Linked DNA regions of Tamandua tetradactyla. The protein of the gene in region 1 purifies or fractionates together with the protein of each later gene. This does not show direct contact. Links are inferred from orthologs where the notes say so. Each region holds a gene or a part of one and is shown in the gene's direction. Other genes may lie near its edges.

Region 1 (8,054 bases):
TAAGTCTACGGCTATAGGAAATAAGATTTTCCTTCAGGACACTCATAGAAACTTCTACATCTGTCTGACAGTGCTTAAGTTTCTCGTTTGAAGCCTTAAGCCCATCCCTTTCACTCCTTAATGTAGCCAGTGTATCTAACAACAACCAGCCAACATCTCTATATCTCTTATTTCCACAAAACTCTGTAAAGGTGTCAAAAACGTTATCCCCGAGAGCTTGGCTTTGTACAAGTGAAGCATTAGGAGAATTGAAGGCGATATTTTGACTATCTCTTTTGCCAGTTCACTCCATGGATTGGGAGTGTCATTCTGCTTATGGGAATCAGAGTCCTTAGTGCCTCTGAGTCCAGTCAGAGTAGAAAACCATTCATAAAAACCCATTTTTAAGATTCTGTTTCTTAAGAACCACTCCTGGTACAAAGATGTATTAGGGTTCTCTAGAGAAACAAAATGAACAGGGAACACTCGCAAATATAAAATTTATAAAAGCGGCTCACATGACCGTGGGAACACAGAGTCCAAAATCCACAGGGCAGGCTGTGAAGCTGACGATTCTGATGGAGGGTCTGGACAAACTCCATAGGAGAGGTTCACCAGCCAAAGCAGAAAGAGAGCCTGTCTATCCGGAATCCTCCTTAAAAAGGCTTCCAGTGATTAGATTGAGCATCACTCATTGCAGAAGACACTTCCCTTGGCTGATTACAAATGGAATCAGCTGTGGATGCAGTTGATGTGATCATGATCTAATTCTATGAAATTTCCTCATTGCAAAAGACAGGCCAGCACTTGCCCAACCAGACAAACAGGTACCACTACTTGGCCAAGTTGACACATGATCCTGACCATGACACCCTTCATCTTTTTTCTCCCTTTTTATCCCACCCCCACGTCCCCAGGACCACAACGTTAATACTATAATAAACCTATTAGTGTGCTATAAAGTAAATATACGTTCGTTTTCTTTTTCACATATCTACATCATATTATTGAAATGGTTAGCAGAACTATTTTAATGGCAAAAAGACGTGTGAATTTGATTGATCATATTTCTATGGCTGAAAAACTCTAGATTCCAGATGTTTGCTCTGGAATGTAGGAGTGCTTGCATAGGTGTTTTACTTTTGGAACTTTAGCAAATAGAGGATGGCATTTATAACTAAGTAGTCTTTACACATACCTATGTCTACACAAAACACTCTATATTAAAATTTGCTTTTCAGAATTGCTAATGCCATGTATTTTGCAGCACGACATAAAATAATTCTAGATGTATTTAAGTTTGGGCATCATTTCTTCCAAAAATTGTCTTAGTAGGACGAAACTCTATTCCTTTCATAGCCTGTATTAATGACAGTTTCAAAATTAAATGACAGGAAAGCTTCGTTTTTCCCAACTCTGAACTTAAAGGACGAAGCCCACAAAGGATAAACTCAGCAGCATTTTGTAATGAGTGCCGTAGTTCCATCATCGGAGCGCTGACTGGGCTGGTGACAAAAGCGGTGCAGGTTCACGCGACTGTAGGCGGGCCTGGTACAAATTTACAAGTACTGGGGAACAGCGACCCAGTGAGGCAAAACCGAGTATTGCACCCAGGTACGGAGGGAATTCTTGATGACTGGATTTTATAAAAGATTTCTGAATGGACATTCATTTTTATAGACCTAGATAGAGAATCAATCATTGAACGCCTTCTGGGGCTACATAAGTTTGCATACATGTTATTTAAACTTTTATTTTCAGGTTGGCATACCTAATATTGTGTCTCAGAGAGGGAGGAGGAGGCTGCAGCATTGATTGCTATTATTATTATTTTTTACATGGGCAGGCACCAGGAATTGAACCCGGGTCCTCTAGCATGGCAGGCAAGCATTCTTGCCTGCTGAGCCACCGTGGCCCGCCCAGCATTGATTATTTTGATACGTTATGCCCACGAGGACTGAATACCAGGAAATAACCTTGAGTCCTTGTTGCTGTTTAATCTGTTATTGACAACATTAACGCAGGCTGAGCCGAAATTTTAGCAAGAAGGTATTAGGTTACAGAAAAAATATTGATGCAAAAATACCTCTGATTGTGTGTGTGTATGTACTTGTATTCTGCTGAGTCTCTGTTGTATTTGTCTTATTACATATTTCCTGTAAATTTTCCTAGTTGGGAAGAACAGAAGAAAACAAGCTTGCACACTGTAAGTCTTGCCTCAGAGGAAACAATGTCAGTACTACACAGAATGTGCAGTCCCCAGCATTGTTCTCTTAGGCTGCTGAATAGGTTTCTTATTTCTCAATTTTCCTTTTTTCCAACAATTCAATACTTCAGGGCCAATCATCTTCATGCCATAATACACTGTTTAGTGATTAAATTTTATGAAAGGCTTAAGTGTGCACTTTTATCTGATCAGCCCTGACACATCAGATATACTGTGCAGTTAATTTCATTTGAAGTTCATTTCAATGGTTTATTATTAAATAGAAACAAGAGTCCAATGATACATGAAGGAGTAAGCTGACCTAGAGGTAAGGATCTGTTTTTAAATATTTTTCCAAATTATCTAATGGGGAAAAAAATCCTTCCTTTCAAAGCAAAAATACCCAAGCATAACTTTTGAGTACATCTTGAACTGCTCCTGGTGTGGGCATGGTGGCAGGAAACAGTCACAGCATTTCAAACTTCCCTTTAGAGCACTGCAACTCAAGGGAGGGTGGGGGAGTTGTCAACACTGCTGATCTGTTTCGTTTCTGGTAACTCTGAACTGGTAGGACAGACATTTCACTCTTTGCCAGACTAGACAGCTATTTTTTTTCTAGAATATGTTCTCCTACATGCATGGGAGATAGTCTTGATGACCAATATCCATATATAAAATCAAATTTAAGTTACAGTATATGAATTACTATGCATTTGAATGTAAAATTTAAATGGATTGTAGCATATTATAAATTCACAAATATTATCTCTTCAATATTTAATTATTCAAGACCAACCCATCACAATTTTTTTAGGTGAGATAGAACATATATATAAAAAAGCAATAAATTTCAAAGTACATTTTAACAAATAGTTATAGAACAGATTTTTAAGTTTGGCATGGGTTACAGTTCCACAATTTTTTGTTTTTTTCTTCTAGCTGCTCCAAGACACTGGAGACCAAAAGAAATATCAATATAATGATTCAGCAGTCATATTCATTTGTTAAATCCTATTTCTTTGCTATACTCCTCCTTCTCTCTCTCTTTTTCTTTTTTTTTTTTGTGATAATAGATTTACAAAAAAAAACAGTAAATTTCAGAGTACATCGCAACAGTTACTTGTAGAACAGATTTCAGAGTTTGGTATGGGTTACAATTCCACAATTTTACGATCACAATGTTTTATAGGTCATCAGCTTTATCAGTCAAACATAAAAACAGAGTGGAAGTAAAAATGATTTGGGGATTTGATATGCTAGAATAAGAGCTGTAAATAAGGGACAACTATTAAACGAGGTGTACTGTGCTCAGTTTGTTACATGCATTGTTTCAGGACTAAACAAACTTTTTCCTAGTAAATATTTCAGGCTTGGTGGACCACATGGTCTCTGTTAGTTACTCAACTCTGCCTGGATAGAGTGAATACAGCCATAAATGGATGTTTGGCTGTATCACATTAAAAGTTAGTTTATGGTCACTGAAATTTGAATTTCATATAATTTTCACATCATAGAACAATTTTTTTTTTAAAACCATTTAAGAGTGCTTAGCTCACAGGCCATGCAAAGACAGATGACAGTTGGGCTCTGGCCCATGGGCCAAAGTTTGCTTAACCCCTGCATCATCTCACTGGGTCAATGGAAATTTCTTAAGTGATATAATATACTGTGATACAATCCTACTGGGTAAAGTGAATGGGCCAGGGTTTTCTCACTAGTTTTGTTTCCCACCCCATTCTCCATCACTTCCTGCCACCCTACAGCACCATCACTCATGAGTCTGTATTCAATTTTCATCAGTTTAAGAATAACCCTAAGTATAGATTCTAGACCTGCCAATTTCAGAACTGACTTCAGCTAGAAGGCTATGCAACTATCTCACAGGTGTGAGCAATGGAGAGACATGAACAGATTTGGGCATCTTTCTTTCTTAAAGAATAAAATATTTTACGAACACAGACTTAAAACTTTATTTAAAATTTTTTTATTAATTAAAAAAATTAACAAACAAACAAAACAATAAGATATCATTCCATTCAGACTTAAAACTTTTAAACAAAATATTTGCAAGCCAAATTAAGCAATCGAAAAGGAAGATACATCATAACCAAGAAGGATTTATCCTAAGAACACAAAGTTGATTCAATATTTGAAAATCAATAAATGAAACTCACTATTCCAGCAAACTGAAAAAAGAATGAAACATCATATGGTCATGTCAACTCTCAGAAAACTAGGTATTCAAGGCAATTTCCTCAACCTAATTAAAGACGTTTATTAAAAACCTACAAGTAACACCAAAGTCAACGGTAAAAGACTGAAGGCGGATTTGGGCGTTTTTAGAGATCAAACTGCTGCCAGCCTGGAGAAGCAGCAGAGCGACAACCGTTTGCCGTATCCAGGGACAGGCAGCGTCTCAACCTCAGACTTCGATGCCGGAGGTCTGCCTTCCTCGGCTGCCCTGGGCGGCCCCCCCCCCCCCCCCGCCCCCCGCCTTCCGCCCCCCGCCTTCCGCCCCCCCGCCCTCCGCCCTACCTCCTTCCCTCCCCTCCGGTTCTCTCTCCCTCCCTCCCCTCACCACCCCTCCATCCTCCCTCCCGCCCTTCCCTCCCCCCTCAACTCCCACCTCCCTCCTCTTTCCTCCTTCTCAGGCTCCCTCGGCCCCGCCCACCCTGCTAAGTCCCGCCTTCTTCAGCTCCGCAACCTAACTTTCTGCCCTTCCGTCGCTCTCCCCCCTCGCCCCGCCCCTATGGCGGCCTTCGATTGGCTAAACTAACGGAGCTGTCGCAGGGACACAGCAAGCCTTGTTCTGATTGGCCGGCGGAAAAGGCTGGCCCGCTCGCGACTGGTTGATGAGAAGAGCCAGCAAGTGTGATTGCGCGCCGGTGTGCGGCGCCGCTTTGTTGCTGAGGGGCGGCTGTGAAGTTAAGGGAGGGGGCTAGCGCCTCCCAGCCTCAGCCGGACACGTCCCTTCACCTGGCGGCTCCGCGTAGGGGTCGCGCCAGCAGCGGCCATGAGCGGCGGCGTGTACGGGGGAGGTGAGTGAGCGCGGCCGGGGAGAGCACCTTGTGTGGCGCGGGCTGTGTAACCGCCGGCCGGCCCTCCCTCCCGCCCCCTCGGATCTCACCCCGGACCCCAGCGCCCCTGCCCCGGCTCTCGAGGAGCAGGCGCCGACCTTGGGTAGGGGCGAGCAGCGCCTACCAGGGTCCGAGCCCGGCTCCAGTCCCCATCCCTTCAGGGGCGCGCTCGGCCGCGTCGCCCAGTGTTTCTAGGTCCTGGTGTGTAAAGGCCTGGGCGGAGGGCTGCCTCCCGGCCTAGCGAGGGCGCGCGACGGAGGGGCGGGCGCACCGGACAGCGCGGGCTCCTCCTCCCCATTCTCCTCCTCCTCGTCTTCATCCTCCTCGTCCTCGTCCTCGTCCACGTCCTCCTACTCGTCCGCCGCAACCTCCTCCGCCTCCTCCTCCTCGTTCTCCTCCTCGTCCTCCCCCTGCCCCTACTTCTCCACCTCCTCCTCCTCCGCCGCCTCTTTCTCCCCCGCCTCCCCCTGCCCCTACTTCTCCACCTCCTGTGTGTCCGCCTGGAGCGGCCTCCTACTCTTGCCCCTACTCCTCCCCATTCTGTTGGCCCAAGTGGAGTGGCCTCCTCCTCCTCCCTCTCCTCCTCCCGCTCTTCCCCTTCCTTCTTCCTCCTCCCCCTACTCCTTCTCCTCCCTCACCTCTCTCTCCTCCTGTTAGTTCACATAGAGGGCTTGCTCATCCTCCTGCTCCTTCTTTCCTCCTCCTCTCCCTCCTCTCCCACCCTTCCTCCTCCTTCTCCCCCCTCCTCTGCCTCCTCCTCCCCCTTCTCCTTCTCCACCTCTCCCTCCCTCTCTTTCTCTGCCTCCTGGTCCTCTTCACACTCCTCCTCCTCCTCCAGATCCATGTGGAATGGGCGTGGCCTCATGTCCTCCAATAACGCCTGGCCATGTTCACTGGGTTCTCTGGAGTTACGTGGGCAGGTCTGTTTAGGAACACGTGTGACCTAAGGGTGCCGGTGTGATGCATAGACCAACAGCCAGAATCACCTGGGAGCTTTTTGGAAACGCAGAATCTCAGGCCCCATCCTCAGCCTTCCACTGAGCCTTCATTTTTAGAAGACCACTGGCAGACTTGAAGCTCTGATGTCTGTGATTTGTGTTCTGCATTGTTTGATGAGTTAGTGGACAAGGAGACAAATTGGAAGTATTACTGTTATTGTTTCTGGAAAGGATGACATTTTATGAGTAGGGGATAAATAATGTTTTCACAGTTCTCAGTAGTTTTTGGCCTGTAGTTTGTGTCTCTTCTGAGTGGAGTACAGACCTTTGCTCTCTCTCCACTTACCTATTTGATTTTGATATCTGAATGATGGGAATTTGGAGAAGGCATCGTGGATCCTCACAATTACTCTCCCCCTAGCCTGAAGATGCAAGCTTGAGAGAAAAACTGGGTCATGTATGGTTTAGGTATTTGTAATAAACATCCTGTGTCTTGTTGGCTTATGTAGAGTCTTAAAGATCATTTCACAGTTAAGTGTTTAGAATTCACAAAAAATAAATGCATGTTTTATGATTGAGCTATCACTGTTTCCAACATTTAGAGTGGGTCTCCCTTTTACACATGTTGTCCATGTAAAAGCAAGCAAACCTCTCACCTAAATGTTGTGTAAATAACTTACTAGACTATTTTTTTTTTACTTTTTATTGTACAATATAACATATATACAAAGCAAAGAAAGAAAAAAGCAATAGTTTTTAAAGCACTCTTCCACAAGTGGTTCAGATCCCAGAGTTTGTCATGGACTACCATATCATCCTCTCAGATTTTTCCTTCTTTCTGCACCAGAGTATAAGGGGCTAGAAGAATAAATATATATATTTTTTTATAATCACAATTGACTTTTTTTTCTTTTTTGTGAAAAATAACATATATACAGAAAAGTAATAACTTTCAAAGCACAGCACAACAGTTAGTTGTAGAACAGGTTTCAGAATTTGGTATGGGTTAAAATTTCACAATTTTAGGTTTTTACTTCTAGCTGCTCTAATATACTGGAGACTAAAATATCAGTTTAATGATTCTGCAGTCATACTCGTTTGTTAAACCCTACCTTTCTCTGTATAACTCCACCATCACCTTTGATCTTTCTGTCCCACTCTTTAGGGATATTTGAGCTATGGCCATTCTAACTTTTTCGTATTGGAGGAGACTGTCAGTAATAAGGGGTAGGGAGATGGAACCAGCGATGTTCTGGAGAGGCTGGGCCCTTTAGGTTTCAGGACTTATGTGGTCCAGGAACCTATCTGGAGGTTGTTAGGTTTTTAGAAAGTTACCCCAGTACATGGAACCTTTGTAGGATCTTATATATTGCCCTAGGTGTTCTTTAGGATTGGCTGGAATGGTTTTGGGATTTGGCAAGGTATGATAGATATATGTCTAACTGAAGCTTGAGAGTGACCTCCAGAGTAGCCTCTCGACTCTATTTGAACTCTCTCTGCCACTGATACTTTATTAATTACAGTTCTTTCCCCCCATTTGGTCAGGATAGAACTGTTGATCCCACAGTGCAGGTCGGGATTCATCCCTGGGAGTCCTTTCCCACATCGTCAGGGAGACTTTCACCCCTGGATGACACTACGTGGGGGAGGGCAGTGATTTCACTTACAGAGTTGGGCTTAGAAAGAGAGAGGCCACATCTGAGGAACAAAAGAGGTCCTTCTGAGGTGACTCTTAGGTATACCTATAGGTAGGCTAAGCTTCTCTGCTACCTACTTAAGCTTCACAAGAGTAAGCCTCAAGATCAAAGGCTTGGCCTATTGATTTGGGTGTCCCTAATATTTGAAGCAGTATCA
Region 2 (7,706 bases), on another chromosome or scaffold:
TAAACACTTTAAAAGAGCAGAACATTGTCTTCCTCATGATATCCAGGCTAAAGTTACATATACACATCTGTACTAAAATATTGCTATTATGGAACAGCTCAACTTACCTTGTAAGCCCCATGGATACACCAACATTGCATGTCCGTTCTTGTTTTAAGCTATTGATGATGCTGCTTTTTCCCACATTTGGGAAACCTATCAATAAATGGGAAATCCAGAGATATGAAACGTTTTATATGCTGATAATTATAAAATTTCCATTGCCTAACTTTATGTGTGCCTGCTATTTAGAGCAAGATCAGAGTTGGATCTGCGAATCTTCACTTCAACACTAGGACCAATCAGCTTCTTCATTTCTTGCTCAAGTAATGAAAAAATAGACAAGTAAATCAATTCAAATATGCTAAGATTTTCCAGCAGCTAATTTCCTACAATGCCCAGCCACAACAAAGATCTGAATCATGCAACAACTATTTAGGTTTTCTTGGCTAAATATCTTGGCACTTAAGAGGTAAGAAGTAAAATGTACTGAACTGAAAAATACTCACCAATTACACCAACCCGAATGGCTTTGCCATAAATCTCCTGAAAACCTCGAAGAAGCTTCCAAAGGCTCTCCTTCCCAAAGCAGACTTCACTTTTGAATGGAGCAGCTTTCTTCTTTACCTTCCCATGTTAAAATTCCAAATAATTAATATGACTACATCTGACACCTCACCACTTCAAACCCAAACAATCTGGCTCCAGAGCCCAGCTCTTAATTATCATCCTCTACTGCTTTTTAAGATTATCTCTTTGAAAGAAATCAGAGTTGGATCTTATGTTTAATTTTCATATCAAGATTTTTTACTCAATAGATTTCATGCCCCAAATAAGAACCACACTTTACTTTAACAGTACCTTGATCATCTTCCCTCTGTCCTTCAGGTTTGTTGAGGCTCTGAACACGACTGTTGGCAATTCTTTCTCCAAATAGTTTAGCCAGCTCTCCAAATTCTCCCTTGGCACCAGATCTGGTAGGAATTTAGGAATAAGACAGATGCCTCAGTGTGGTAATTTTGTTGAGAAATGTGCAAGATCTGCTATAAACTATAGTTTTATTCTAGTTCGCTTTGTCCCAGGTTTTTCTTGAAGGATTTAACTGGAGGACAGGGTAAATTCCATACTATGCTACTCTTAATAGAGCCCAATGTTAGCACTTCTGTATTTCTTTTATTCCCATTTTCCCAAGCTCATCTTTCAGAGCTGAGTCAACCTCTAGATTCTAACCTTACTAATCCTAGAGCTAATCTTTTTTCTAGAATTTATCCTCTGCTAATAACCATTTGTTTCCTGTCCACAACAGTATTTTTAGATACCATTTTTACTTTCTGCTTTCAGGTATCTGCTCCTGTTACTCAAACCCAGATACACAATTATACATCTTATTTAAATACTTTATCATACAGGTTCTAATTTACCTAGCTCCTGACTTTATTATAGACTCGACTATTTTATGTGTAGGGGGAATTTGATACAATGTTATCACTTCTTATGCAAAATATATCAAACATTAGGCAAGCCACAGAAACTTACAATCTTAAATAAGACAAGTGGTAAGTACTGAATGGCAAAAAAACAACAGAAACCAGGTAAATCACTTTGGAAAACACCCTCCCCTCACTGCCTAGCACTGTCTTTGGCAACCAGAGAGCAGAGCACAGGCACAGGCTTAACTGAGGTCAGAGTTGGATCTTATCAGTCTTCAGCTTCAGTGGCAATCAGACTGTTCAGATGTTTTCCTCATTCCTCACTAGAGCATATGCCAAGACAAAGGGCACCCTGGCCTTTTGCTCACCTGATTTATTTAATACAAGTATCAGCTTTTTCTGTCCACCCTGGATGATGGCCTCTTCTACCTGGGGACACCTGCAACCAAGAGGATCTCTGGCATCCAAAACCTCTAACACAACATCCGAGATCTCAATCACCTGTCAAGGGATAGAACAATCAGAACTACATCACTCACTCTGGAAACATTCTCAATACAAGTGTGCTGGCATTATCCACTTTGCAAATGAATGAGTTCAGAGTTGGATTTCATGTCTTCATTTTGTATGAAGAATGTTCATATGTTCATCATTTCTCACACAGGAAAAAGAAAACATATAGGCTTGCACAGGGGCCTTCAGCCTCTCTTCAGAGTAGATTTTATAAGTGGCAACACCCCCAAATGTCTGAATTGTAATCCTCCCCCACTTTATAGTTTGAAGAGGTGCTGAGATGCATAAGAGGTGCTGAGATGCATAATCAGGTTCTATCCAAAGGGAATAATAAGCTTCGGAAAGTGAGGTCAGGGATAGTGGGGGGTGGGGGTGGGGGTGGGGTGTCACCTACCCCAAAAGGACATCACCCTCTTGACTTCCTTCACTTAGGTTTCCACAGCACATTAGAAACCCTTATTTTACTACTGTATAATGTGTTTTCCTCCATCTTAAAAGCCAGTGGGTCAAAATATGGTTTGTATCTTTAACACAAAAAGCCATTTGTAAACTTCATTCCTCACTTCAAGGAAAAAAAAATAGTTCCCTTAGCTCAACATAACAGGAAAGGCCTTAGATGGCATAAGACAACCTCCTAAAGGATTCTCCCAGCTCAAGTAGATTCTACTTCCACCTTTACAAGGTTTGTGGCATGGGGACAGGAAAGAGGAATAATTAATTCTTTTAAACCTAATTACCATTTTTAGACATGAACCTAGCTAGATTAAGATACCTTTTTAAGTTCCTGACAATATAACTTCTTTGGATTCTGTTTGCCCAGCTTGGCTTTGTTCTTAGCTTTGTGTTGCCCAAATTCCTAGGTGATAAAGAAAAAGGGGAAAAGACCCACAATTAGAAATACAACAATTGTAGCCTATTTCTCTATTTTCCATGGCTAACTAAAAGGCACTGCATATTTAAGTAATTAAGTCAGAGCCTGAACTCAGTCTTTTCTTTCTAAGAAGCACAGCAGCCCTCACCCTGTGTATGTGCTTATATTTCAGTGTCAGCATTCTACCTTTCACTTACAAAGAGACTAAATCATACCTCCTTCACAGGTCCCTCGTTAGATGGTTTAACATTAGGGTCAGCTTCAAGTTTTCTTTTCTTTTCCACTTCCTTCTGTCTGTCAAGTTTCTGCTGCTGTTTTAGTTCTTCAAGCTGTGTCCAAGCCATAAAATAAATGGATAATACAAAGTGACTTGGCACTGCTTTGAAAAGACACATGTATGTATACCCACACTCATTGAAAGTTTTAACAAATATATCTTACCCGCTGTTTCCTTAGCTCAGCTTCTCGAAGAAGAGCCTCCTTGAAGGGAGCACTGTTTGGAATCCCTGGGTCTTTCCTAGGCTTCTTATGACCCCGTTTTTTGGCTTCCTTTCTCAATTTTCTATAATGTTCCCGTACCTATTATATTGAAAACATTACATAACTTTACCAAAAAAACTTTCCTCCTTGATTCATGCAAGAAACCAATCTGGTCGAAGTGTAGGGATACCTGCAAGATGACCTACAAAAATAAGCTCTAATTGAGCTAACAGAACATACATAATTATAAACTGCCAAAAAACAAAGAATCATGTGGCACTACTTTCTCCATCTCTCTTTGTAGGGATTACTGAACATGTCCATTAAATTTTGCACTGTCTTATCACCAAATTACTGTACTTTCCCACAGCTCTACTCATGATACCTATTCAACCCACTTCCTAAGGCTAAATCTTATTAGCCCAAACTTCCCTGGGGGTCTGAGGGGTGGGCAGAAATTAGTTTAACAATGTATTTGGTATAGATCTCCTCAACACAATACCCACCTTTTTTTGGATTTTATACCGCTTATGGCAGGTCATGCGTTTACTTGATTTCTTTAACTCTACAAAGAAACACATCATAAAATTATTAGACCACAGATAATCAGATTCCTTAGCTTCCGATGATTGTCCCTTTTCACATTAAGCCATTACCTCTCAAACCTAAAGTTAAGAATCTTCTGGGAACTTAATAAAACACACACCACTCTCAAATCTCAGAGAATGTATGACTCATTGATCTGAGGTGGCGCTCTAACTTTTCTTTCCTACTCTTCCCTCATTATACTGGGATTACACATGGAAGCGTAAGAGATCAAATACAATAGCCACTTCCCTCAAACACCACGAAACATAAGAAAGGAAGGAACGGAAAGCGGATTTTGAGAAGCAGTTCTCAGTACTCGCTCAGGTGGATCGTCTGTACGTGGCCGCAGAAGGAAAAAGATTGGGCCTAAGACCTCGCTAAGACGCTCCTCATAAGACTCTGACACGGCCTTTCCCATTCTCGGGACCCAGCCTTCCTTCTGTACAACGGGCAGGCAGGTAAGGAGGATCAAGTAGAGTCTATCCAATCTTGGTTCCTCACTGAACGAGGAGATGGCCTACCTGCTTACCCCGCACAGAGCCAGCCGTGGAAAAGAGGGTCCCGGTGGGTTTGAGGAACACCAGAAAGGGGACCCTCTCCACCTCCACCCGTCCCCACTACTCACTTGGCCGCTTCATATCGGCGGTGGGGGCCGCAGTGTCACCAGCGACAACCTTTCTCTGCCAGTGCCACGTGCGAAATGAGGCCAAAGGAAAACGTCACGCAAAGCGGCCGCCGTAAAGCGCGCCGCCGCAGTCTTGCGTGCACGCGCACGCAGAGTCGCGAGGAGACGGGCTCGCTTGGTGATCTCCGGGTTAGCTTTACGGCGGCGCCGGGCGGGGTAAGGGCGGCTAGGGCGGCGAGTGCTGAAGCGACGGCGGCGGCCGCGGCGGGAGGAGCAATAAAGCAGCCGTGGCGGCCACGGGGCGGGGCGTGGCGGTCGGTGACCGCGGCCGGGGTTGCAGGCGGCGGAGCAGCTGGGTAAGGGCGGACCGGGGGCGGGCGGGGCCGCTCCTCCTCGGCCAGCTGCCGGGGCTTTGTGTGGGCCCGGACGGGCGGGAGCGGCAGCGGAGGCCCCGCCCCGGCTGTGAGGAAGCGCCGATCCGGCCGGGCGTGCGGGGCGGAGCGCGGCCCGGCGGCGGGCATTGGGACGGGCTCGGCCACCTCGCCGCACCTGCTGGCCGGGACAAAGGCGCGGAGCGGCCAGAGAACTCCCTGTGTCCTCTTTCCGGCTCCCGTCGGCTGGCGGAGCGCTCGCCGCGGAATTGTCTTCAAAGCTGTCAACGTTTCCTAAAATCCCCGTACCAGTGACAGGTCGGGAAAGCCCTTCCTTTCCTCCGCCGGCCAGGGCCTTTTTGTTGTTTCTTGTCGCTTCCGACACAAACTCTCCTAGTGATATATTTTTTATGTTTTCCAGATGACAGTGTTCAGACTGTGTTTTTGTCCATGAGGTTGTTATTTATAGTAGAGGCCAAATGTTTCAGGTCCCATCTGGAACATGACAAAAATTGGGGGTTTTCCTTGTTTTTAGTATTTTTCTTTTGACTGAGAAACATAGTTTTATTATTATGGGGAAGATATTTGTGATTTAAAGGAGAAAGAGTGGTAAAAAAAAAAAAAATACGGAAGAAATCCTGAAAAGCAAATGACAAATATACAGTATTGGGTTTAGAAATTCGTACAATAATTACAGAAACAAATGTTAGAGTAAAGCTTTTTATTTTGGTTAACTTATTGTTTACGATCTAGGGCTCCTCCAAAGTGATTTTTTTCCACTTAAAAGTACACTTTTCCCAAGTATAGTTTGGGAACAAATTGAGCTCAATACAAATATAAAAGACTAGTATAGTTTTTGCTTTATTACTCACTAACAGATTGCTCATATTTTAAGATCCAAAATGGAAGGTTGGAAAGTATTTTTTGAGGACTATTTCAGATTAAAACATCTGAAATGTTATAAATGGATGGAAGGGCTTTGTCCACTCACTGGCTTTAGGGGTGTATACAATATCTCAAATATTAATATTTTATCCAAATTAAGTAAGTTGTGGTATATTCATGTGCTAGATTGTTATCAAATCATCAATTCATTTGGAAGAATCTTCCCTAAGATAATCCCTGGCTAGCTGCAAAATAATATATATAGTTTATTGCATTTGTTAAAAAAAAAAAAAGTGCGGAACTCAGGGATAAAGTAAATACTGAAAGCTCTAAACACCATAGTTAAAGTGGTTTTCTCTGAGAAGTAGGATTATGAGTGATTTTTTTTTTCCTTTCAGCCTTCCAGAGTTTTGGTTTTATGTGTGGATCTCCATACTAAGTATTACGAAATACTAGCTAAAGTTTACAAGCTGTCAAAGTATACCATTTGACTATACGGAATATTCTCCTAGTTGCACGTTATACAGTTACGCTTCTTTACTGCCCTCCTTAAGTTATCATTGGTTATCAGGCCTTTAGACAACTATAATTAAGGCCAAGTTTAAAAAAAAAAAACAACTTGAAAATGAGGTTCAGAATCTATTTCCTTTCTCTATGGAAAAATAATATCTAAAGACATGCCAGTAGGCCTCTTAAACTACATAAATGATCTTTTTGTTTTTGTTTTTTAAAAAAGATCGCACTTAGGGCATACAGGTAGTTCAGTGGTAGAATGCTTGCCTTCTCTGCAAGAGACCCAGTTCAGTTCCTGAACCATGCCCCCCCCACAAAAAAAGATCCACTTAGTGCACTCTTTGTACATTTACTGAAAAGCTAGATTGAACATTCAGCTATACCAGTTACTATTCCATAAGCCAGGGCTACACACATGAATAAAATCAGTTCCTGTGACCCAGGAGCATTTAATCCTACAGTTGAAACTTAACGTTTTTGTTGTGCTTTGAAGTTTCAAAGGTGCATAATCTTATTTCACCGTTGCAGCAACCCAAGGAAGATATGTACGACTTTACTGTTCTCATTTTAGAGGTGAGGAAACAGATTTGAGTGGTTGTGACTCAGACATCATCAAACAGATAATTAGAGATAGAAGACCTGGGTTACTATTCTGATCTTCTCATCACACTGCCTTTCTTGCCTAATTTTCAAAATACATTGAAAAATATATGCATGGAATTAAGAATATTTGAAAATTATCCTTGAGTTGTATCTTTTTTCCATTATCAGAGTTATTAATGAATGAATTAATTATGAATTAATGATTCAAGAGGTTTGGGTTATCGCATACCTCAACCATATACATCCATGCTAGTAATTTGTACCTTTCTTTGTCATTTGGTTTTCTCTGGATTATTTATAAAGGTAATTCGGAACTCCTGCCCAAAGGGTTGAAGGCTTTTTCCTTTAATCTTTGTAAAATTGTATGTGGTGTCTTTTTCCAACAACTAGTAGGATTTTAGGAAAGAAGTGATGCCTTTCTCTGAATTTTTTTGGAGGGAGGAGTTTTCCAGACTATTCACATGAGCCATTCTCTGTTTGTTACAGTTTGCCAGAACTTGGTGTCACATGTGAGTCCCCCACATGTGTTCACTGAGTTCCAGCTCTGTGGCTGAACTCTGATCTTACTAACTAGAGAGCAATTGGGCATGCATGCTTTACTCCTGGGATTGACAGTTCATTTATGTGAGCAAAGGGGAACCTCAGCGAGACATCTTTAAGTACAAGAAAAGCATTTGGTTTTTAAATAGAGGAAATACAGGTACTGTTAGTGCCTGGGCCTTTGCTAATATGCCTATATTCTCCAGTTCTATTACCTTTCTTTAGCAGTTCTACTTGAATGTTTTCTA
Region 3 (7,584 bases), on another chromosome or scaffold:
TCTTCCTTCTCTAATAAAATAGTCAGCAAGCTCACCAGTGAGAATGGTGGATGAGGAGAATGTACATATTAAATTGTGAGAGAGTTGCTACCTTTTTCCTCATGTTAGATTGACCCTGGGTATTCTGTTTTGTTTGAAACCTACCACAAATCAGACTAGCCTAGACCTTTATTTTATGTTTGGTTTTACTTTGGGAGGAGGTGGTGGTCAGGCCAATTCTTAATTTATAATGGTACAAATTAAGCTAGTTAATTTATAGGTAAGGGTATTTTATCATAGCTACTTTCCTTGGGGGGGGAGCCATATTCAAATATTAATATGTCTCAAAATGTGTTTTATATCATTATTCTGAAATGTAAATCCCCCCAAATTGCTATTTTTTAGACCTTGAGATGGCATATTTGGATTATAAAGGAACTTTACAAAAAACAAGACCTTAAGATGGGCGAAAAAGGATGTAGAGAAGGGGTTATTAGGCACCCACCAAACTTGATGCATCCTTGGTTATTCCTTTGGGATTCTAAAGGTTTTTGGCAGGCACAGTTTTACCAGGAAGGGTTTTTGAGCGCCATTCAGGCTCCATTCCATTTTTCTCGGTGTCACTCCAGTTCATATTTTACAGTTCCCGCCTGGTAGCCGGTAACATAATGAATTGCCTTGACTCTCGCTTCAATCCACTTTCCTCTCTTAATATGCAGCCCAAAGTTTTGCAGCTCGCTGTCAGATGATAGTGCTAGACTTTCACACTGATCCCAAAGCCTCCACTGGGGCTGTTTCTTAACACGGAGTTACAAACTTTAAGAAACAGACAGCTCCAGGCGGAAATCCATGCCAGACTTTGAATTCCGCTTCTGGCTTCCGTCAACTGACGGAGTTGCCCTTTTGCTCAAACTCGCTGCTCCAGTTCGCACTCGCGAGCTCCGCTGGGTGTCTGCTGTTTTGCCGCGGCTGGAATGGGTGTGGGGGCAGCAACCACCGATTCCCCGCGCTTTAGTTCAGAGCTTAAAAAGTCCCCCCCCCCCCCCGAGGAATGGGGGAAGGAAGGAGTCCTGATGAGGAGCAAAGCCTGACCTTTTGTTTGTTGAGTTTTGTATTTCAGATCTTTTGGGAAAGCAAAGCGCGAGAGAGGAAGAGCTATCCTCCCTACAAACGTTTTCCTCTCTTAACCTTCCAGGTCTCGGATCCACATTTTGCAGTTGACTGTGTGGAATCTAATAGGTTGTTCCCTTGTTCTCGGGCCCAATTCATGCGCAATGTGCAGCTGGGTAAAATGAGAGCACATCCTCTGCCATTTTCAGTCTGTTTGTCCTGGCAGCCGTACTCCCTTTACCCGGCGGCCGCGGCCGCTGGAGTTAATGTTGTGTCCAGAAACCCCGCCAGATCCTCCGGGAGGTAGATCCAGTCCACGTTTGCCCAAGTGCCGTGCGGTCGGGGACGGTGATAAGAACTCTCCTGTGTGGAGAGCAAGCGAGACTTTAGTCCGGTTTCCATGTCAACGATTCAGTCCGTATTTGCCATCAGGCTGTTGGTGGTTGAGGCGCTTTCATGAGGGTAGCGCTGTCCTAGTCCTAGTTCTCCAATCTGCGTCGGGATTCCTGAGCTGCCTGGGTGCGGGGTTAAATGGCAGGGGCCATGGGGAAGAAAACTCCACCGAGGGGAGGACTCGTAGTCCCTAGCTGGGTCTCGCAGCTCGGGCCAGCCACGTGCCCAGCTTCCTCCCCTCCCCCCCTTTCCCTGTACCCCTAGAGAGAGTTTGTGGGCTAGTTTCTAAGAAAGTTCCCTTCAGGCGTGCGATTCCAGGATGGGGGTGTAGGGCTCTAAAGGTAGGGATAGAAAAGGATCCTAAACGAGTTGGAATTAAAAAAAGAAAGAAAGAAATCCCGTGTTACCTCCCCCAGTCCAGGTGGATAGATTTTGGGCAATTCACCTAATTGCTAGATAAAAATGGTGGCTGTTTTCAAAACAATGCTCACATGTAGGGAGAGGAATTTTGGCACTTTCCATATTTCACAGCCACTGAAGAAAGGGAATGATGAGGGTTTCTTTTGGAGACATCCATTCAGGCTTCCAGATATACACTGGCTCCAAGTTTCCCATTACACTTAAGCTCTGAGGAAAATGACAGGGCAACTGCATGTAAAAATTCCTCATTTGTGTGCAGGACTCAGGACTGTTTGCCAGTTCACGGGCAAGTGGTTAATAACCAAACTCCATTTATGAGGCAGAATATAATTTGGTTTCTTTAACGTAATACACTAGGAAAGTTGTTGTCCCTGGACTATGAATGAAACTAAGGCACTGGCCCATTCCAGTGAATTGGATCTTCTTGGTAGGGTTTCAATTCTTGACTTTGGGGGAAAAAAAGGCAATGTTTTAGATTAGGAGGATGGTTTTGCCTTTTTAGTGTAGGATGCTCTAAGATTTTTTTTGGGGGGGGGGTGTTAGAAATGAGCTCAGGCTTTTGGAATTATTCACAGTGACCAGTAGCTTGGTAAGGACTCCTGCAGGGGCCTGCAGAATCTGAAAGTGCTAAGATAATGATGAAGTCTCCATTTATAAAATCTGAGGGGAAAAGAAGCTCTGGGGTCTAGAAACGCTTGTCTGGGCCTCTCTTAAGGCATCTGTGAGCCTGGTGAGGAGTTGGAATCCCCTCTGGCTTTCATAGCCTGTCATGTCAGAGCATTCCAAGTCAGCCTGAGGAGGAAAAGGCTGCTGGGCAACGCTGGAGTTTTTTTATGTATGCCTTGATCTTTTCAAATAAACCTGACCTAACTAACATATACCTAACTCCAGTTCCATCAGGTTTTCTTAGAATGTGATGGTAAACTTTAAAGAATCTTTACACTGAGGAATAAGAAACAAATCTGGGTTGCATCTGTTTTCTGAATGACCTTTTAGACTGTGACTTTTCTGTTTCTTTAAGGATAAAATTGTTTCCCTCCTTTTGGCCATCCCTTTTCTTCAGTGGTTTGTTTGAACATCAGGTACCTCCAGCCCAGGAAGCCTCTTCCACAGGCTGTAGGGGCTGCCTTTGGGTATTGATCATTGTGGGCTAAGCTCTTTTAGGAGATAGAGAAGGGGCTCATATTCTACTTGATGTCTGACTGCCATATGCCTCCAAAGCAGCTTCCATTGAGACCACTTTAAATCTGTGGTGAGCTGAGCAGCTTTGATCTCAAACCCATCCTTATTCTGATATTCTGATCCCATCACTGGATTTGTCCACAACTTGACTGCTTTTTTTAAAAGGATAAATAGACAGGAATCAGCCTTGGGGACTCCACTTCTTTTTAAAGCCACCTTCCTCTGTCCTCTAACTTTGTGACCCAAGACAAGTCCCTTCCCCTCTCTATATTTCAATTCTATGAAATGGTGATAATCTGGACCCCAAGGCCTTGTCAGGACAGGATAATGGAGGTAGGATAGCAAAAAAACAATGATCCTTAGGCCAGCTACCTAGGTAAAATGCTGGGACCCACTGCCTTACTCAGCTGGATCTTTAGAGCCGGTTTGCAGCAGAGGTGCTAAGTAGCTGCCAAGAGACCAGGCCCACTGCCAGGGGGTCAGGCCAGAGCCCTGGCGGCCGTGGTCTCGGGCTCAGGCCAATTTTGCAGCCGCGGGTAAAGTTCACGCTGCCGGCTCCCTTCCGTGCCGCCACCGGTTGGGATGGGAACGCCGGGAGGGAAGCGGCGCAGGTTCCACAGAGGTGGGAAGTCCGGGCCAGGTTTTCCCCGATGCCTTCAGCGGCGGCGCGGCCGAGCTAAAGCTACCGAGGGCCTACAGCCGCCAAGGCTTGTTCTTTCCCCTCCTCCTTTGTGAGGGGAAGGGAGAGAGTTCGTTCCGCGGCCCGCGCCCGTTCCGTGTTCCATTTCGGGTTTGCCAGGCGGCCGCGACGGCGCTGGGTAAAATGGCAGTGCTGAGCCTCGTGTCGGAGTGAGGGGGACTCGGAGGAGAGTGGGGCGCTCTAGCCACTCAGTCCGGCCGCCTGCCCGCTCGCCCGCTCGCGGCCGCACAGCAGCCTCGGCCCGAGCCGTGGCCGGGGAGGGGAGGCACGGCACCCGGCCCGCGTTCCGATTTTCCCTCCCGGCGCCCGGGTTGCTGCCGCGCGCCCTCCAGCCCGCCCGTCCCGGGTCCCCCTCCCCCCGCTCCCTCCCTCCCTCCCCGCCCCCTCCCCCTCGCCTCCCTCCCTCCCTCCCTCCCTCCCTCCCTCCTCCTTTCTCCGGCAGCAGAAAGCGGAGAGTCACAGCGGGGCCAGGCCCTGGGGAGCGGAGCCTCCACCGCCCCCCTCATTCCCAGGCAAGGGCTTGGGGGGAATGAGCCGGGAGAGCCGGGTCCCGAGCCTCCAGAGCCGAGAGCAGCTAAGCCGCCGGCGCCTCGGCCGCCGCCGCCTCCTCCTCCTCCGCCACCGCCAGCCCGGAGCCTGAGCCGGCGGGGCGGGGGGGAGAGGAGCGAGCGAGCGCAGCGCAGCAGCGGAGCCCCGCGAGGCCCGCCCGGGCGGGTGGGGAGGGCAGCCCGGGGGACTCGGCCCCGGGGAGGGGTGGGAGGGGGGGGAGAAGACGAAGACAGGGCCGGGTCTCTCCTCGGACGAGACAGCGGGGATCATGGCCGCGCAGGTCGCCCCCGCCGCCGCCAGCAGCCTGGGTAACCCGCCGCCGCCGCCCTCGGAGCTGAAGAAAGCGGAGCAGCAGCAGCGGGAGGAGGCGGGGGGCGAGGCGACGGCAGCGGCCGAGCGCGGGGAAATGAAGGCAGCCGCCGGGCAGGAAAGCGAGGGTCCCGCCGTGGGGCCGCCGCAGCCGCTGGGAAAGGAGCTGCAGGACGGGGCCGAGAGCAATGGGGGTGGCGGCGGCGGAGCCGGCAGCGGCGGGTCCGGCGCGGAGCCGGACCTGAAGAACTCGAACGGGAACGCGGGCCCTAGGCCCGCCCTGAACAATAACCTCACGGAGCCGCCCGGCGGCGGTGGTGGCGGTAGCAGCGACGGGGTGGGGGCGCCTCCTCACTCGGCCACGGCCGCCTTGCCGCCCCCAGCCTACGGCTTCGGGCAGCCCTACGGCCGGAGTCCGTCGGCCGTCGCCGCCGCCGCGGCCGCCGTCTTCCACCAACAACATGGCGGACAACAAAGCCCTGGCCTGGCAGCGCTGCAGAGCGGCGGCGGCGGGGGCCTGGAGCCCTACGCGGGGCCCCAGCAGAACTCGCACGACCACGGCTTCCCTAACCATCAGTACAACTCCTACTACCCCAACCGCAGCGCCTACCCCCCGCCCTCCCAGGCCTACGCGCTGAGCTCCCCGAGAGGCGGCACTCCGGGCCCCGGCGCGGCGGCGGCCGCCGGCTCCAAGCCGCCTCCCTCTTCCAGCGCCTCCGCCTCTTCGTCGTCTTCGTCCTTCGCTCAACAGCGCTTCGGGGCCATGGGGGGAGGCGGCCCCTCAGCGGCCGGCGGGGGAACCCCCCAACCTACCGCCACCCCCACCCTCAACCAACTGCTCACGTCGCCCAGCTCGGCCCGGGGCTACCAGGGCTACCCCGGGGGTGACTACGGCGGCGGGCCCCAGGACGGAGGCGCCGGCAAGGGCCCGGCGGACATGGCCTCGCAGTGTTGGGGGGCTGCGGCGGCAGCGGCGGCGGCGGCGGCCGCCTCGGGAGGGGCCCAACAAAGGAGCCACCACGCGCCCATGAGCCCCGGGAGCAGCGGCGGCGGGGGGCAGTCGCTCGCCCGGACCCCGCAGGTACACAGCTGAGTGGGGAGGGGGCTGGGGCTAGCGGGGTTCTGGGAGGTGGGTGGCGGCAGCGGGAAACCGGCCACAGCCGTGGGCTTCCCCCAGTCCCGGGCCCCCACTCCTGGGGACCTGCCATTGTCTGGCTCTTCTTTCTTAAAATGGCTGCCTCTCTGCCTACCTCTCCTTTCCTCCTTCAGCCTTTGTGTGGGGCTTTCACAGAGGTGTCTGCTCCCCTTCCCCCTCTCTCCTAGTTCCTTAGAACTCTGGGGGTCTTCAGAGGGGTTGTGGGGCAGAGTGGGCGGCGAAGGGCCTTGCCTGGGGTGAGCCGGGGCTGGGGACTCAGGTTAGCGATATAGGCAGTGGCAGGAGCTTCGGGAGTTAAGAGAACAGTTTTTTGCTCACCTGCCACTCCTCTCTGCCCCCTTGCTTCCTCTAGGCCGTTCCCCTTCTGTGCTTTCAAGGAGGGGCCCCTCAGGCTCGAGGGAGGGCAGGGGCCTGCTTGGAGGCCGCTAGAAGCCGGCTGCGGTTCACCCAGGACAGCCCGGGCCATCCCCGGTCTTAGTCTTCTTCGGCCCTGTGGCCCGGGCTTCTCCCTGGAAGTGCTGGTAAACAGCTGAGTGATTGGAGTAGTAAGTGCAGATTGCTTTGGTTTGGGATTTGAATTATGGAGGTAAAATCCTTCTGTCAAAGCCAGGAGACAGTTGGTCTTAGGTTGACATCCTATCTGTGATCTGATTGGCTCCCCATCTCCTGCTCTTGGCCATTTATAATTGCCTCTGATGTAATGGTACAACAATCCTGATGAGCTCATAAACTTTTACACTCTGCTTTTCTGCCAGTGATAACCCAAACCATCGCTGCCACTATCTGCCTTTTATTCCAGAGCTGAAATTGGCTGTGACCTTGAGGAGGGAGGTTTAAGCAGCAATACTGTATCAGCAGGAGCAAAGCCCCAGACAGGTTGCCCTTGTTACATTGTGCACAAAACAAAAGAGAGGCAATGGCATTTCACTTGTACCTTGGATTTATTTTGCTTGTTATGTTTTATGCAGCCTGAAATAGATGCTGTGTTGTCAGAACAGTAGCTGAGTTTTTCTCTACAATGGGTTTGCTGTTTGTTTTGGTTTTGACTTTCCTGATGGTATAAATGACTTCTTTGATGATTCTGAAGATGCATTTGTCTTGAGTAATTTCGATCTTGTTTGCTTTTCAGAATTGAAATTATTTTACTGGGCATTTTATTGAGTGGTGAATGTGAGATCTTTATTCGGGAGTAGTACTTTTTTTTTTTTTTTTCTTAGTTTGGAGAACTGGAAGCTTTTTGAGAGAATTTTGTATTAGGTTCAAGTGTTCTGTTTGTGACCTCATTCTTTGTTTACATGTTGAATCTAACACTCTTTTTTTTGTTAATTAAACTTTGGCAGAGCAGCTCAATTTAAAGGGAAGCTAATGTCTGTATTTCATGATGTTAAGAGGGATTTTCTCCTGAAGACTTGATTTGGTGAAATTTATCATTTGATCCTGTAATATAAAAAACTAGTTTTCTAATGTTTCAGTCATTTTAGAGCTTTGAAATAGAAATCGGCTAACTTTTTCTCTGCATCCCTAGGTATGTTTCTTTTTTCTTGTCTTCCAAGATATAAAGATAGGACCTACTGTGATACTTAAAAGATTTGCTTAGAAATCACAATTTTTGTACTTTTTAATGCATCCTATTTTATTTTTATTTTGCTCTTTTTCTCTCTTCATTGTGTTCTGTCTTCAAGGTTTTAATCAGGAATGTTGGGTTCTGTATGGAGCCATATATCTTTAAGAAGAGGGAAAGTGGTCCCTTCATGCTCCCTCACCCTCAGCAGTACCTAAGCTGCAC
Region 4 (7,556 bases), on another chromosome or scaffold:
CTACCCTGCGTATCTGGTGGGTCACTCCATCTTCTTAGCTTTCCATTGCCTGCAAGACCAGTTTGAATGTCTCAGCAAGGCAGGGTTGGCCTTTTGCCATGTCTTCATGGCTTAACCAAGATGAAGCCCAGGGAGGAGAGGCAGACTGGAAGTAAGAAAAATGAGATATTGATTTTGAACAGATGGGTTTAAATTTCCTATGGAACAACTATCAGGGAGTTGGAAAAATGTATCTGCAGCTCAAGAGAGACGTAGGGTTGAAATTAAGAAATTTAGGGTCATCAGAAAATAGGCATTAGTTGAAGTTATGGGAGTAGATGAGTTTGTCTCGACAATAAAGAGGTAAGGATGGAATCACAAGGCCATGGGTATTATGGGTATTTAGGGACCAGTAAGGGAGGGAGAGATCCCTGTACAGACTCCTTTCCTTATCTTTCTTCTATCTTAGTAGCCTGTTGTTTAGCTCTGTCAGCAGCTCTGGGTCCAAATTCGAGAACCAGGAGGACACCTCTGAGCAGGTCTGATGTCAGAGTATTCTGTTCTTCAGGTGACTTCCAAAGCGATCAGGAAGAGGCCACTGAGACCACAGTGTCACCCAGGTCTCTGAATGTGTTGGAACTCTGGTTCTCTCTGGGGAGAGAATGAATTGGAGAATCATGCCCCAGCCCTTGGCTCCAGAGTGTTGATCTGAAGCCTACTTCTTATGTACAAGTACCTGCTCCCACCATTGGAAGTCTCTAGTCTTCAGGTATTTTACCTTCTAAACTATGTGGCCATAATGTGCACACAGAGGAGCTCCTCCCTGTCTTATACTTGACAATTCAGCCAAACTTATTCTAATTCTCCTCACCATGTACTATTTCTTGGCTTCAGTCCTTATTCTCTCTCCTTTGCCTAACTGACTCTTAACCTCCTTAATATAATCTCCTGCAGGAAGCCTTCACTAATCTCTTTCCCCATTAAAGCCATCTCTGTTTTCCTATGGCACCTGGTAAATATCTTTATCACATAAGGAAATTATTTATTTATACATGTATCTTCTCTACTAGACTATGTCAAGGACTGGCATATGGAAGTTGCTCTCACATGCTGTAAATATTTCTCAAATGCTAAATAGGCTGTTTTACCGTAGTATATAGCCCTTCTGCCACTTTGGCTGGGCTGTGCCCAGGGCCTGCTGTACCACCACATCCATGTGGGAGGTGGATGCTTCAATGGAGACAGGCTCTTGGTATGACCCCAGCAAGGCTGGATCTTGGCAAGTGTTTTCTGCCATGACCTGACTATCTGCCTTGCTTCTCCCGAAATTCTGACCTCCTAAGGGACCTCCATAGTGAGCAGTGATCCTCTGCTGGCCTGCTCTGGGGGACGGATTAGGCCATCTTGTTCCCAATGTCTTTCTTTGGTGAACTCTTTGGGGATTATTTTTCCCACCACAGGGAACCACAGAGTCCACACTGGGAAGTGTCCTTTTGTTGTATTTGGCTCTGGTTGTATTAAATACTTTACTTCCATTTCAGTCTCTTTGAGCATCTGTAGATCCAACAGGGTCAGGAGGGCCAAGTTATAAGAAAGCCCATCCTCTAGAGTATAAGACTAGGAGCATTGGAGGCCTCAATAAAAGTTGTTTAACTGAATCACCAAAACGTGGGCTGTAAGAAGAATAAATACTGATGGAAGAAAGGAGAAAGCAAAAAAGATATTCCAAGCCTTGGGAACAAAGGAATGCTGCCTCCATGGTTTCAAGTCCCGAAATTGGCTGCATCATTAGGTTTTGTGAGGTGCTCTCCCTTTCTCCCATCTCTATCAGGTCTTCAGAGGTAACTTATCACCTCTTTTCACAAGTTCCTGAACTGTCCCAAGGGGAGATATCAAACCCTATTTGCCTGTTGAGTGACTACCTCTGGTATTTTCTTTGAAACAAAATTCTCCAGAAAACATTTTCTGGTTAATCAGGACCAGATTATGATACTAATCAATTCCCTTTTCTCTGAGTCCCCAAGGCACTTACTTTCTAGTTTGAACACTATTTGCAAGTAATAACTGACTAGAAATATGACTGTTAACAGAGGTAATAAATATTATGTATGGTTAATTGCTTGGGTTGTGGATTCTAGAGCCTAATTGGAACCAGGTTGAATTCTAGCACCATCATGGTGAGGGTGGGCACGTTACTGAATCTCTCTGCCTCAATTTGTAAAATAGAGGTAAAAATTATATCTATCTCCTATATAGTGCCTACCTCATATACGTTTTGAAGATTAAATGAGCTAATACGTACAGGCACATATGCTTAATAAATGTTAGCTATTCTCTGAGTCTACCCTCTAGGAAATTTTTCTTAATCCCTCCGCTATCTCTGCCTCCCAGCTCCTTGAGGATATTTTTTCACAGCAATTAACTCATTTCTGGCTGTATATGTTTACCATTTTCTCCCACTACACTTAAGCTCATTCCTTTGTTCACAAACATTTGTTGAGTGGCTTATGACATTGATCAAGAGAGGCACAGTTCTCACTTTCATGGAGTTTATATTGTAGTGGGGGAGCCGGATCAATAGTAAATCAGAGTATACTTAAATAAGTAATTACACATTGTGATAATCACTATGTGGGAAGTAAACAAAGTAAGGGGAGAGCTTAGAAAAGTTAAGGAAGAGCTGTGAGTAGAGATTCTGAGGTGGGAAGCGGCTTGCCAGTTTGAGAAACTGCAAGAGTACCATTGGGGCTCGTGCTTAGAAAACACCAGGCGGTGATTTAAAATGAGGCCAAATCCTGCAGAGCCTTATGTGCATGGTAGGGAGTGTGGCAATCGATCTAAGCACGGGGAACTAGGGAGAGTTCAGGCAGAGGATTAACTGGATCTGGTTACACTTAACTATTTTATCTGTTTTTTTTTTTTTTTTTTTACATGGGCAGGCACCAGGAAATGAACCAGGTCTCCCCCATGGCAGGAGAGAATTCTGCCACTGAGCCACCATCGCACCGCCCTATTTTATGTTTTTAAATGCATTTATTAGCTTGCCTCTTTTCCAGAGTAGTGGTTCTCTACAAGGAGGATCATATCAGAATTACTGGGGAGTTTATTTTTAAAATGTAATACTGGGAGTCTCCTCCCACAGCCCCTACTGGATTTGAATGGTAGGCATGGAAGGGAGGCAGGAATATTTTGGAATAGCTCCCCAGGAGATTCTGATTCTCCACCACTTTGTTGAGAACTGTTCAACAAGCTTGAAAGACTCGAAGTAAACAACGTAATCTGCCTCATCATGAATTCTTAATCCACTTTACAGGCTGGGGAGAGGAGCCATGGTTCAATGACTGGAGCTGTGACAGTTCCTGTGGCATGTCCCCAGGCTGGGAGGTAAATCAACTTTTCAGGAGAATGAGGAGCGGGATCTCTGAGAGGACTAAGAGGCAGGAAAACAGCAGCAGCCAGATTTATTACTGGAGGAAAGATACAAGGAGGTACAGATCAGCATACCTTTCTAAAAAGCACTGAAGGAGTGTACCATACTAGGATCTGGGCTACCCTGATGCTCGGAGGGAAGCTATCATTTGGCTGGAGATGAAAACAAAGCAGGTTAGAGGGCCACATAGTGAAAGTCTCTATCTTGGCTACTCAAAGTGTGGTCCCAACAGCACACTTTGTCTGACAGCCTATTACAAATGCATAATCTTGGGACCTACCCCAGACGTAATGAACCATAATCTACAAACCCCACGCGTTTTTTATGCTCAAAATTTGAGATGCGCGGATTTGTAACATGGTGAAGAGACCCCAGACCACCAAGGCAGGCTCCCTGTTGCAGCTGAAACCAAAAGCAATTTTAATACCTACTAAGACAAGACAGTAGTTTCTGAAAAGGTGTTGAGTTCTTGAGAATTAAGTGTTAAAGAAAACTAGAGAAACACCTTATTGAACTCCAGGGTGGTTTTTTATAACGCAAATTTCCTTCACCTAGAAAAAATTTATGTGGAATAAAATAGTAGGCTTCCTTAAAGTGAGGCAGAGCCATGTTTAAAATGTGCGATAAAAATTCAACGCTTGGCCAAGCAAACCATTCACACAGCTGGATGGGGTCTGGAACCACCGATATCCCTTGGCAGCTCCGGGCCACCAGGAAGGGCTTTTTAAGAAAATGGACTTGGCAGCCTGTTCTGCCCCAGAGGGCAGCTCTCGGTTGAGTTCTTTTACGTTGAAAATGTAAAAAGGAGACATGACAAACTATTTTCATGGAATATGGTCGGGCAATTCGGTAAGGCGGTTAACACTAGAGTACTCCCCCATTCACTCTTCAGTCACTCTTGAAGTCGTTCATGACCTTCGATCTCTGACCCTCGCGCTTTCCTCGGCGATTCAGTGCGACGTCTCCCCTCCCGCCCCTCGGACGAAGGGCCGGATCAAGGGCTGCGGGCGGGACGCCGGGGCTGGCGGTTAGGGGCGGTGCCTGCTAGGGGCGGTTCTCGCGAGGGGCGGGATTTGAGGAGGCATCCAAGCATTGGGCGGCTAGGCATAGGCGGGGCCTGGTGCTGGTCGGGGTTGGGCGGGGTGAGGAGTTGCAGGCCCCCGGACTCCCGCGGCCAAACCTGCGGCGGCCGGGGACTGCAGGCTGGTGCGTAGCAGATCCCGGATCCGGAGTTTCTTAGACAGGATCGGAATCAGTATCGGCCGGGGCCCAAATCCGGTCAGTGAGGAACTCGTGAACTTGTATTAGTAAATCCCGGAACCTGGATCAACAAACCCCAGTACCCGGATTAGCAGAATCCGGAATTTAGATCGGAAAGTCCCGGAGCGCGGAGCACGGAGCGGACTCGGCGCGCAGCCCGGAGTCCGGATTGAGACACCGCGGAGGGGACGGAGCGATGTCGGGCCGTGGCGCGGGCGGGTTCCCGCTGCCCCCACTGAGTCCCGGCGGCGGCGCGGTGGCCGCGGCCCTGGGGGTGCCGCCTCCTCCCGCGGGATCCGGCATGCTGCCTGGACCAGCGCTCAGGGGACCTGGGCCGGCTGGAGGCGTGGGGGGCCCTGGGACCGCCGCCTTCCGCCCCATGGGGCCCGCGGGCCCTGCAGCGCCGTACCAGGTGAGAAGGGTGGGTGGGTAAGCAGATCCACGAGGGCGCTGCGGGCAGGGGTGGCGGGGGCCCCGGGTGAGGCCCTGGGGAAGCCTGCTGGGCAAAGGCACAGAGGCTCTGCATGAGGTGCTCGTGGGACATGGTGGAAGACAAGGCCAAGGACCCTCAGGGTGCGGTTAGATGGTGGTGGAGTTTGGGGAAAGGTTTAAGAGGGATTCGGGGGTGGAACGTTTGAAACAGTTGGGAGGGCCTGGGGCCTTCCCTCGGTAAAGACTCTACTTGGTAACTGGGAGGTGGAGCAGTTGTGTGGAGGAATGGTGTGTGGGTGGGTGGTTCTGAGAAGTCTAGTGTAGATCCTAGCGTATAAAGGTCCTGGGAAGTGAGGAGAAAGTTTTGGAAAAGGGGAGTCTCAGGGGCCTTCACTGAGCAACCAGAGTTACCCTACACTGGCCTTGGTCGCACCCCAAGTCTGTCTTGTTTTTTCTGGTTGGGAGCTGGCAGCGTTCTAGCATCCCCTGTCCCCTTGGCCCACTGTGTCTGAGATGGCTCCCAGCTGCTTAGTGATAAGGAAGGCCTGACTTCACTGTCCCTGGAGGCTGAGGTTAGAGTAAGGGATTTCACCCCTGTGCAGAGGGAGACACTACTCCTGGGTCAGAGTAGAGTGTTTACTGGGGATATCCCAAGACCAGAGATGGTGGCAGCCAGGCCTGAGGAAGAAGAGAGGCCCAGCCCAGTGACAGACCATTCCTGGAAGACTCTCTTTTTGGCTTCCTGCCTATTGCCATAGTGTCCAGGAGTTGATTAGTCTGGAGGAGCAGAGCGGCTCCACTGAACCCTGCCAGTCTAAGGCCGAGGATCCTGGGAGAATTGCCTCAAAGGGTCCTATTGCCTTGACCTTTTTGAGCGTTGGAAAGAGAGCTTCTCAGGTTCCAGTTCCAAAGGCTATTGAGAAGCCTCAATCTTTAGAGTCAGTGTGAAGAACTCTACCGGACCCTGTTGGTGGGTCTCATCAGCCCCCTAGTCCATTGTTTCAGGTTATTACCAGAATGCTTGGAAATTGTGTCTGTCCTTGTCTTGGCCACCTGCACTTCCATTTAGCCTTCATGTTCTGACAATGCCATATCCCAACTCTTGTGCCCCAGCATTCGGTGCTGGCTTCTCCCAAAGCCCCAATGACTTGGGGCTCCTCAAGTCATTGGGCAGAGGTCCCAGAAATGGAGCTTCATGGAGTAGGGAGTGTGCATTCCACCAGGGCCCCATGGCCCTCAATTTCTAAAGAGATGGTTAACTGGGGACAGTGATGTTTCTCACTTTTTATCCTCTTTCTTCCCCCCAAATAAAATAAAAGATCTGGGTCTGGGACAGAGATAGACCTGGTTCCAAACCCTCCAGCTAGGGTCTATCTTTCCTATCATACCCTCCCCCTTGGGCATTCAGGGGTCAAGGATGTCCCTGAACAGTCCCGACATCAGTTATTCCAGCCCTTGGACCTATTCACTGAGACCTGGGTGTGAGTCTCCCTGTGGGCCTTCTGCCTGGGAGGGACCTGGAAGCAGATAGGGATTTTTCCAGTTCCCTTGGCATACAACCCATGGGAAGTATGCCCTTGGGAAAGCCCCTGTAAGGATGTTTTGTGGGGAGTGGTCTTGGGCCTGTGACAAAGCCAAGCTGGCTGGGTGGGTCTCCTGGGCTTCGTGGTGGGGACCTAGGGGATGGCATTGACCTTCTGTTTCCCAGGGCTTCCCATCCCATCAGCTGTTTTTTTTTTTAATTAAAAAAAATTAACAACAAACAAAACATTAAGATATCATTCCATTCTACATATACAATCAGTAATTCTTAACATCATCACATAGTTGCATATTCATCATTTCTTAGAACATTTGCATTGATTTAGAAAAAGAAATAAAAAGACAACAGAAAAAGAAATAAAACGATAACAGAGAAAAAAAAGGTTATACATACCATACCCCTTACCCCTCGCTTTCACCATCAGCTTCTTATCATCACCTCCTCCTCCTCCTTCTCCTCTAGGGAGTAGAAAAAGAGGTAGGTGGGGAGAGGAAGAACCCAGCTTACTTCGGGTGAGTTCAGGAACAGGAGGATCTGCTTGTCCTCTTTCCATGTTCAGTGTGACCTCCAGGAAAAAGGACTTAAGATTTGAGGAGCAAAAGGATTTTTTGACTCTTAGGGCTCATCAGATGAGCCTGAGGAGTGGGGATTTGAGGTCCAGAAATGGGCAAATAGGGAAACTTATTGAAAAAAGGAAAGTGATGACCCACCTCCCTCCAGATAGTGGCTCTAGCTGTAGATCACATTCAATTGAGAGCTTGAAAAAAAGAAAAAGAAAACACATACACATATAGCAGGGATTGCTGGTGTCACCTCAGAGACTTCCATATACTTTCTGCTCATGGTGGGCATGCTCTCCTTTCACTTAAGCCCTTAGTCCCAGCCACCAGGAGCATCAGGATCACAGACTTG

What was found.
Region 2: the proteins of ACTL6A (region 1) and PBRM1 fractionate together in Homo sapiens (co-fractionation; 4 studies listed by BioGRID and IntAct, with this or other methods). This does not show direct contact. The link is inferred for Tamandua tetradactyla from reciprocal best matches to the Homo sapiens genes ACTL6A and PBRM1.
Region 3: the proteins of ACTL6A (region 1) and ARID1A purify together in Homo sapiens (affinity purification with mass spectrometry; 5 studies listed by BioGRID and IntAct, with this or other methods). This does not show direct contact. The link is inferred for Tamandua tetradactyla from reciprocal best matches to the Homo sapiens genes ACTL6A and ARID1A.
Region 4: the proteins of ACTL6A (region 1) and SMARCD2 fractionate together in Homo sapiens (co-fractionation; 5 studies listed by BioGRID and IntAct, with this or other methods). This does not show direct contact. The link is inferred for Tamandua tetradactyla from reciprocal best matches to the Homo sapiens genes ACTL6A and SMARCD2.

The regions. Positions count from the first base shown.
Region 1 is NC_135331.1:77,893,263-77,901,316, forward strand, and holds the start of ACTL6A (actin-like protein 6A), read left to right. Parts: upstream 1-5,035; 5' UTR 5,036-5,198; coding exon 5,199-5,223; intron 5,224-8,054.
Region 2 is NC_135341.1:33,174,223-33,181,928, forward strand, and holds the start of PBRM1 (protein polybromo-1), read left to right. Parts: upstream 1-4,702; 5' UTR 4,703-4,762; intron 4,763-4,776; exon of another isoform or gene 4,777-4,902; intron 4,903-5,063; exon of another isoform or gene 5,064-5,235; intron 5,236-7,706. Other genes in the region: GNL3 (guanine nucleotide-binding protein-like 3), read right to left, coding at 108-195, 549-666, 901-1,013, 1,838-1,970, 2,755-2,838, 3,069-3,182, 3,295-3,432, 3,840-3,898 and 1 more. UniProt on the Homo sapiens protein: Involved in transcriptional activation and repression of select genes by chromatin remodeling (alteration of DNA-nucleosome topology). Required for the stability of the SWI/SNF chromatin remodeling complex SWI/SNF-B (PBAF).
Region 3 is NC_135328.1:199,507,602-199,515,185, reverse strand, and holds the start of ARID1A (AT-rich interactive domain-containing protein 1A), read left to right. Parts: upstream 1-4,545; 5' UTR 4,546-4,601; coding exon 4,602-5,723; intron 5,724-5,745; exon of another isoform or gene 5,746-6,674; intron 6,675-7,584. UniProt on the Homo sapiens protein: Involved in transcriptional activation and repression of select genes by chromatin remodeling (alteration of DNA-nucleosome topology).
Region 4 is NC_135332.1:5,011,476-5,019,031, reverse strand, and holds the start of SMARCD2 (SWI/SNF-related matrix-associated actin-dependent regulator of chromatin subfamily D member 2), read left to right. Parts: upstream 1-4,526; 5' UTR 4,527-4,865; coding exon 4,866-5,081; intron 5,082-7,556. UniProt on the Homo sapiens protein: Involved in transcriptional activation and repression of select genes by chromatin remodeling (alteration of DNA-nucleosome topology).